Rattus norvegicus: one gene and its partner. The protein of the gene in region 1 purifies or fractionates together with the protein of each later gene. This does not show direct contact. Links are inferred from orthologs where the notes say so. Each region holds a gene or a part of one and is shown on either strand. Other genes may lie near its edges.

What was found. Proteins that work in one complex are often made in the same cells at the same time.
Region 2: the proteins of Copa (region 1) and Copg1 purify together in Homo sapiens (affinity purification with mass spectrometry; 6 studies listed by BioGRID and IntAct, counting the BioPlex papers as one, with this or other methods). This does not show direct contact. The link is inferred for Rattus norvegicus from reciprocal best matches to the Homo sapiens genes COPA and COPG1.

The regions. Positions count from the first base shown.
Region 1 is NC_086031.1:87,077,576-87,081,675, reverse strand, and holds the start of Copa (coatomer subunit alpha), read right to left. Parts: upstream 2,809-4,100; 5' UTR 2,703-2,808; coding exon 2,663-2,702; intron 1-2,662. Other genes in the region: Ncstn (nicastrin precursor), read left to right, coding at 2,929-3,010. UniProt on the Homo sapiens protein: The coatomer is a cytosolic protein complex that binds to dilysine motifs and reversibly associates with Golgi non-clathrin-coated vesicles, which further mediate biosynthetic protein transport from the ER, via the Golgi up to the trans Golgi network.
Region 2 is NC_086022.1:121,922,480-121,926,769, forward strand, and holds the start of Copg1 (coatomer subunit gamma-1), read left to right. Parts: upstream 1-1,482; 5' UTR 1,483-1,588; coding exon 1,589-1,625; intron 1,626-2,639; coding exon 2,640-2,692; intron 2,693-3,029; coding exon 3,030-3,110; intron 3,111-3,317; coding exon 3,318-3,389; intron 3,390-3,541; coding exon 3,542-3,621; intron 3,622-4,290. UniProt on the Homo sapiens protein: The coatomer is a cytosolic protein complex that binds to dilysine motifs and reversibly associates with Golgi non-clathrin-coated vesicles, which further mediate biosynthetic protein transport from the ER, via the Golgi up to the trans Golgi network.

The DNA of each region.
Region 1 (4,100 bases):
GGGTGTGTATATATGTTTGTGTCTAAATATGTTTGTGTCTAAATGCACACATGTATGAGAATCAGCTTTCTTTTTTTTTTTTTTTTTTTTTTTGGTTCTTTTTTTCGGAGCTGGGGACCGAACCCAGGGCCTTGCGCTTCCTAGGTAAGCGCTCTACCACTGAGCTAAATCCCCAGCCCCTAGAGAATCAGCTTTCTTATTCCACCATGTGGTCATGGGGAATCAAGCCTTGGTGACAGGCACCCTTACCCACTGAGCCATCAGCCCACTGGCTTAGAACATGTACGTTTAAAGTTTTGGTAATTTGGGGTTGGGGATTTAGCTCAGTGGTAGAGCACTTGCCTAGCAAGCGCAAGGCCCTGGGTTTGGTCCCCAGCTCCGAAAAAAAGAAAAGAAAAAAAAAAGTTTTGGTAATTTTTTTCAAGTTTTTTTCAGAGCTAAAGTTTCTCTGTGTAGTCTTAGCTGTTCAGTGCAGGCTGGCCTCAGACTCAGAGATCTGCCTGCCTTATCGCACCAGGAACATTAGGGTCTTTTACAACATGGCCTCACTTTGTAGTCTAGACTGGTCTCCCAACTTGCAGGGACCCTCTTGCCTTAGTGTCCCATGTGCTGGGATTACAGGTGTGAGTCACCGCAGCCAACTCTGGTAGCTATTGCTTAGCTGTAAAAGCATTAGAGGAATATACTCTAATAGCAAGTTAATGAAAACACTTATTTTGTATGATGTTTTCTTTATTTTTATTTTTATTTTTTTTTTCGGAGCTGGGGACCGAACCCAGGGCCTTGGTTTCCTTTATTTTTATGATATACGTGAACCCCTCCTGAGACAGGCCTCATTATGTAGTCTCAATTTGTAGCAATTCTCCTGCCTCAGCTTCTCACGAGCTAGGATTTACAGATATGAACCACTACATCCAACGTAGCACTTTTATATTTTTAATTGTGGGTACCTGTGCAGAGGTTATGTGCACAGAAATGTAGGTGCCTGAGGCAGAAGAGGGCACTGGAGCCTGTGGAGCTGGAGTTACCGGCAGCAGCGAGCCACATGCCTTGAGTGATGGGAACCAAACTCTGTAGGGACAGTATGCCCTCTCGGCTCTGATCCAGCACTCTTAATGAACTCTCAAGTACTGATTTCCCCCACCCCTTTCTAGTACCCAAGAAGAAAGCTGAAAAGAGCTCATCGAAAATGAAGACTCATTTCAACTACTTAAATACCAGAAGCTGGTTTTTGTTTGTTCTTTTAATTATGTATATGTACATGGAAGTTCAGGTGCCCACAGAGTCCAGAAGAGGGGTCAGGTCACCAGGAACTGGAATTACAGGTGGATGTGAGCTGTTGAACTAGGAACCAAATTCAGGTCCTCTTCAAGAACAGTAAATTTTGTTAACCGAGCCTTCTCTCCAGCCCATAGCACCTTTTTTGGGGGGGTGGAGTGGGGATAGGGTCTCAGTGTGTAGGCTTGTCACTAGATATGTAGACCAGGTGGCCTCCAACTCACAGAGATCCACCCTCATCTGGCTCCTGAGTGCTGGGATTAAAGCCATCATGACTGGCACCAGAGATGATGATTCTTTTCTCTTCTTTCTTTCTTGCCATTTTGAGACAGGGTCTCTCTGTGTAACCCTGGTGGTACTGAGAATTCTTAATGGCACCCTTTACAATCAAATTTCCCATGAGACTTAGAAACTTCTCAGAATATAGTCTCACATTAAATAGCCTCCAGTTTTTGAGGTACTAAGTCTGGCCAAGGCATATCATAATCACATTAATATACTTTCTCATTTTAATTCTCTATAAGAAAATGTTAATTATCCTTATTTTTAAAGATAAGCATATAGAGATTTAGAAGTAGTTAAGTAAGCCACATAAGGTGGCTTGTTTAGATGTTTCAGAATTCCTAAGCAAGTTCGATTGACTCCAATGAACACATTCTAAACCACTTTACTATAATGCATATTACAAAATATTCCAGATATATTTTTATCAGATTTCTGTAGACTTAATTCCCTGCTTTTCTAACATCAACATTTTGAAAGAGTGTGATCTCAGGCCTTTGTCTTTCAGATTATCAAAAAAATTGTTTATCTAGTATTCAAATCTAATACAAAGCATCTTGTATTTCATCGGACAATCCTACCAGTAGCAGGGCTTTACGTTCCCTAATTCCAAATAGGCAAAAAAGAAAAAAAAAAAAAAAGTCCAACGGAAGCGCTGGACATTAAAATGGTGCAGACAGGCTACTGGAGTAGCCAGTGACTGACTCCGGAAAAAGCTACAGTGACAGAAGGTGAGAATCAATCCCCAAAAGTACTCCATACAACATGGTCATCAAAAAGCGTACAAGTCACAAGACCTTAAGAAAAGAAAGAGCTGGAACACACCCCCATAAGAAATGGACGGAAAGAATAGGAAGTGGGCCTAAGAGCTCTCCTACAAAACACAAACGAACCATGACACGAGTAAATCCAAGTCCCAGGACCCACTAAGCAGTGCAGACTGCAGAGACTCCACTAACCCTAACCCGCCTCCCCTCGGTTATTCCTCTGGGCTCTTCCAGTAGGCCCAATTCGGTCAACGGGTCCTCCCATTCTCTCTTCCTTGGTGACAGCACCTCCCCTACCATCCAACCTCCGTAGTTCCCCTCTTCTTCTTCACTACCTTTCACCCGCGCGCTTTTGGTCTCGAATTTGGTTAGCATCCTTCAGGCCTTCGGCTCCCAGGTCAGATTAGCGGATCCCGCCGCTCCCGGTTGCACTCCCAAAGGCTCCACGTCAGCTACCCCAGGTCGCGGCTCCCGGAAGCTCCTCAGACACGAACTTCCGGTTTGGGGAGCGCTGGGCCACAGAGACGATGCCAGCGGAAGCCTAGAGAGACCGCTAAGAGACTGGAAGGGACCCGAGGCTTCCGCCCAGCGGAGAGGCAAGATGGCTACGGCTAGGGGCGGCTCTGGGCCTGACCCAGGAAGTCGGGGTCTCCTTCTTCTGTCTTTTTCCGTGGTACTAGCAGGTGAGGTCACCCCACCCGGACCTCTGATCTTTAAGAGGAACCGTGCGGAACAGCTCGTCGCAAGTGCAAGCGTTGCCCTTCTGGTTCCGATTTCCCCTCTGTCCCCAGCCCTGTAAATCCTTCTTGTCTTTCGTTCCCATGACATAAGTTCCTCCTTTACCTGAACCTTCATTTCTTCTCTCCGGAGGCATGTCGTTTCGCTTAGTTCTCCCCAGCCCTTTTCTGGGTTTCCAACCTGCTTCTCTTCAACCTTATTCGCATGCCTTGTATGCCTTGTTTTATTTAAAGCCCAGCCACCCCAACAGCAATTAAAAGGGACAGGTGTGAAAAGCTCATCCTCTTTCCTTTGGTTTAGTGTTTTTTTAGATCAAAACAGTCTTGTTTTGTGGTCTCCGTGCAACGTTGCAAAATAAGAGCTCTCATTTCCTCCTGTTGGTTCTAGCTTAAAGTTGTGTTCCTTATTCTCTTTACTTATTAAAGTGAGGCTAACGTTAGCTTCGCTGCTCTAAACTGTTAAGAGGAAAGTAATGATTCAAGGAATTTAAGACGTTTAATGTATATGAATATTTTCGTTTTTTCTAATCTAATGTCTATTTAAGTGATCTTGCAATTGTGAATTACAATCAGTAACACACCTGTAATTATTTATAATGCGTTCAACTAAGAGTTAAGAAAAGCTATACTTTTTTGGAAATGTATGGCTTACCAGTTAAGCCCTGAAATGCAACCATTTCCTTGTATAACCATGACTCTATATTTCTCTACACTCATATTGCTTTTGACTAGCTTCAAGGGAGAAACTGTAGCTGCCCCATACTCTAGGTGTGCTCCCAAATGGTCTGATGTTTCATTAACTGAACAGGTGTGTGGCATAAGGTTTCTTCCCCCCAGGTCTGTTCAGATTCTGAGGTGGTTTTTATTGTTGTTAATGCTTTTCTTTGTTTGGTTTTGGTAATCAATATTCTTAAACCAGAGCTCTTTTCATAACTAATTAGTAATGTATCTATACAAATTAGAAAAGCAGATTTGTTTACCCTTGCAACTAGACGCTGGCACATCTGAAGTCAAAGACTTTGGACAATCATCTTTT
Region 2 (4,290 bases), on another chromosome or scaffold:
AATCAGCTGTAAAGCAGGTTGTCTCCTACCTTTATGTGAGTTTGTTAGAAGTTAGGGGTTGCAGAGAGAGGAAAGAGGGGTGGGGGAGAAAGAAGGGGGAAGGTGGAGACCACCCCTCCTATTGTAGTATCCTCCCAGGCAAACATGACTTTTGATTAATAGGGTGTGCTTCCAAGAAGAAGCACGCAGACATGGGAACCACATTTTTATTCTAACTCAGGTGGTGACATTGTCTTTTAGTTTTAAAAGAATCCCAGTGGGGTTGGGGATTTAGCTCAGTGGTAGAGCACTTGCCTAGCAAGCGCAAGGCGCAAGGCGCAAGGCCCTGGGTTCGGTCCCCAGCTCCGAAAAAAAGAAAAAAGAAAAAAGGGAAAAAAAAAAAAAACCCAGCAAAGGAATTTAAAGGGGAAAAGGTCAGTCACATTAATCTGAGAGTAGCATGGCCTTTTTACAAAGTTAACAAAATTTTTACTGGGTGTGGGTATTTAAAATTTTGTATTAAAAGTCTTACAAGGCGGAGGAAGATAAACAATATTTGGATTCCTTGTCAAAACACAAGTTTTACAGTATTTAGTAGAAAAGACTCATTTCATAATTTTCACAATTGAACCAGGTCCTCAGGTTTGGCAGCAAGCACCTTTATTTACCAGCTGAGCCACCTCATTGGCTCTATTTTTTGAGGTGGAAGTCATGTAGCTTTGGTTGGTGCCGGAAGATGGCCTTGAACTCATCCTTTCTCTGCCTCATGAGTGCGGAAATTACAATGTCCAGTTATATCTCAATTTTTTTTTTTCCGGAGCTGGGGACCGAACCCAGGGCCTTGCGCTTGCTAGGCAAGCGCTCTACCACTGAGCTAAATCCCCAACCCCGTATATCTCAATTTTTAAAGCACAAGTGTACATAACTCTAATATTCATTGGCTTACAAAACTAGACTTTGATGGAATCGGTTCCTTGGCTAGCAACGGGTGCCCTTTTCCCCCTTCGCGCCCCGTCTCCCGCCTACGACGACCCCCCTGGCACAATCCTTGGGGACAGTGAACTTGTCCGAGAGCAGCTTCCCAATAAATTTGCCTTTAAAATATTCTAACCTGGCTTGTTGGCTCATTTCACCGGCGGCGTAAAAATAACCTATCAGTGAGACTTCCGGAAAATGACAATAAAGAGTAACAGAGAACGTTTATGGGGTCAGCGTGCTGCAACTCTCCCAATCAGAACGCCCTTTAAATTCAGCCGGCAGCAACTGCAAAGACATCAGCCACCGGAACACACGGGGGCGCAGAGGCGGAGCACCCGCAACAGCAGGTCTAAGGCCCCGCCCCATTGCTCAGCCACGCCCATTTTCCTGAGTCTCATTCCTAGCCTTCCGCTCTCCTCCACTCAGCTAGATTTTGACTGTCTCCGGGCAGGCAATGAAGGTGTAACGTGGAAGCAGTTGTGCGCAGGCGCAGACGATAGAGTGCGCAGGCGCAGTCCAAAGAGCAGTGCTCAGGGCGACGTGGCGGGCGGGAGTACGGAAGCCGCTGGGAGAAATTGATCTCACCGCTACCCTGAGCATCTTTCTATTGCGTGGAGCTACCGCTGGCACCATGTTGAAGAAATTCGACAAGAAGGACGAGGAGTCTGGTGAGGGACCCTTGAAAGTGTTGGGAAGGCCAGATCCACGCGGGGATTCACGCGACCTTTCTAGGCTTCCTTCTTCCGGGCCTCTGTCAGAACAAGATTCGAGGCCAGAGAGGGGCAGGGGCTTGTGCGCAGGTCCATAGCAATTCTTGGAGAAGACGTGCTGTTTGCACTCTCCAGTTCTGGTCAGAATTGATGCGTGACCTTGTGCGGGTCACGCACCTCTCTGGACCTCAGTTTCCCCATCTTGTCAGAGGAGGTTCCAAGGATGGGTGCTCCCTTGTATTCCACCCGACCTCTTGGTATTTGCCAAAGCTGCGTTGGTTCTTTGCCTATCTGGGTGCAACCAGTCCAGCAGTTAATAACCCTGACTGTTTCTTTCACTCATTCAATAAACTACATCAGGAACCTCACTGATCCTGATATTGCAGTACCTAAGGCAAGTGCGACACTAGATGCCTGCAATAGGAATGTTAGGATGGTCACATAATGGAGGAGCCAGACAGTAACCAGATAATCACATGCATAATTACTTAATGTAATATCTGCTGTCATCTCAGTCACAGGTCAGTTAGTGTTGGTTGTCCCTGGCACATAGACTCACTTAAGTTCTGGTTGTACGAGTCAATGCTAAATGTTATACCTTGAGAGTCACAGAAAGAATGCTAGGTGACTGTGAGAGGACCTTGACTGCCTCTGGAAGATGATATAGACTTCCTTCCCGTCCCCGTGTTTGGCAGAATCTTGAAATTTAGGGTCCCAGTTTGGGGCTGTAACAGTTGGTAGAGTGCTTGCCTAGCATGCATGAAGCCTTGTGTTTGATCCACAGCACTGCGTAAACCAGGAAGTAGAGGTAGGAAGATCGTCCTCTGCTAAAATTTGAGTTCAAGGCTAGCATGGAATACGTGAGACGCTGTCTCAAAAAAAAAAAAAAAAAAAAAAAAAAAGAAAAGAAAAAGAAGGAAAGAAATCTATCCAAGATCACAACCTGTAATCAGTCTTCTCTGTTCACTGTAGGTGGAGGTTCCAACCCCCTCCAGCACCTGGAGAAGAGTGCAGTACTCCAAGAGGCAAGTTCCATCATACCTGTGTCTGGTCAGGGATGCCTGCCAGCCCTGCTGTCAGACACTAACATACATAGAGTGCTGGTTTACAGAGCCTGGGCCCAGGAAGGTGGGACCTACTAATTATATTGCTAAGTGTGACTAGTACGAGGGCAGCACAAGCAGAGACTTGGGGTATTACCTAGTCATAACGTAGATCAGTTAAGAGAAATAGGCTCTCCCCACTTGAGAATACATTTGTGTGGACTGACACACCCCGTGGTTCTCTAGGCCCTTCATGAACTGAGGGGCAGCTGTGGAATGGAAGTGTACTAGGCTAGAGGTAATGGTTGCTTCTTCACAGGCTCGGGTCTTTAACGAAACTCCTATCAACCCCCGGAAATGTGCCCACATCCTCACCAAGATCCTTTACCTCATAAACCAGGTAACAAGATGGGGCTTGGCAGGGAGTACAAGGGGGACTGTGTAAGTGGGGATGTACCCTTAAGCTTTCGATTGACAGCTCTGTGATTGGAACCAACAGTCTAGCCCTGGGTCCTCTTAAGTTTCCAGCTCTCATTTGTTGCTTGTGCTCCAAAGGTCTAGCCTGCTGACCTCCTGTCCAAACCTGCGTCTTTTCTGATTACCACAGGGGGAGCACCTGGGGACCACAGAAGCAACTGAGGCTTTCTTTGCCATGACCAAGCTCTTTCAGTCCAATGATGTAAGTACGTCAATCTGCATGTCTGCAGATGTGACGCCTGTGACAGGGTAGCTGGCAGGAGGACAACTGCCTTCCACACAGTCAGGCTCCTCTTGAGTCAGGTCCTCTCCCACTGAGCAGGACTGATAGGGTCTTCTCCATGTCTTTTCCAGCCCACACTCCGCCGAATGTGCTACTTGACCATCAAGGAGATGTCCTGCATCGCTGAGGATGTCATCATTGTGACGAGCAGGCATGTCTTGGGCAGGGGTGGCTCCTCTGGTGGGACCCATTGACAGAGACAACTCGTACAGCCAAGGGACTCCTGACATCTGGCCTGTGCCCTGTCCTCCTAGGCCCACCCCCTGCCAGCCTCTAGAGTGGTCTGCTTCTTTCTCACTTCTCTGGCCTTGCTTCTCTTCCTCCTCCTTAGACGGCACAACCAGTGTGGAGCTTTCAGAGAGTCTTTAGTCAGTGCTAAGGAAAAGAAAAACAGATGCAAGAAATCCTTCAGAACTGGGAGTCAAAACTGGACATGGTGCTATACACTTGTACTTACAGCGTTTGGTAAAAACAGGAGGATAGCTGCCAGTTTGAACCTGCTTGGGCTACATAAGAAGATGTCACCAAGAAATAAAATAAAACAACACCCCCCCCCCCACACACACACACCTAGTTCTTTTATTTCTTATTGACATTGCTAGCCAAGGAGAGGGTCCATACAGCCAGTTTCAGGTACATTGATACTTACTGGGGCTGGAGAGATGGCTCAGTGGTTAGAGCACCAGTTGCTTTCCTAGAACCCACATCAGGAGGCTTAAGAGCATCTGTTACTCCAGCTACAAAGGACTCTGATGTGTCAGAGGGCACCATACTCAGGTATACATACTCACATGCAGACAGATACTTACATTGCTAAAAA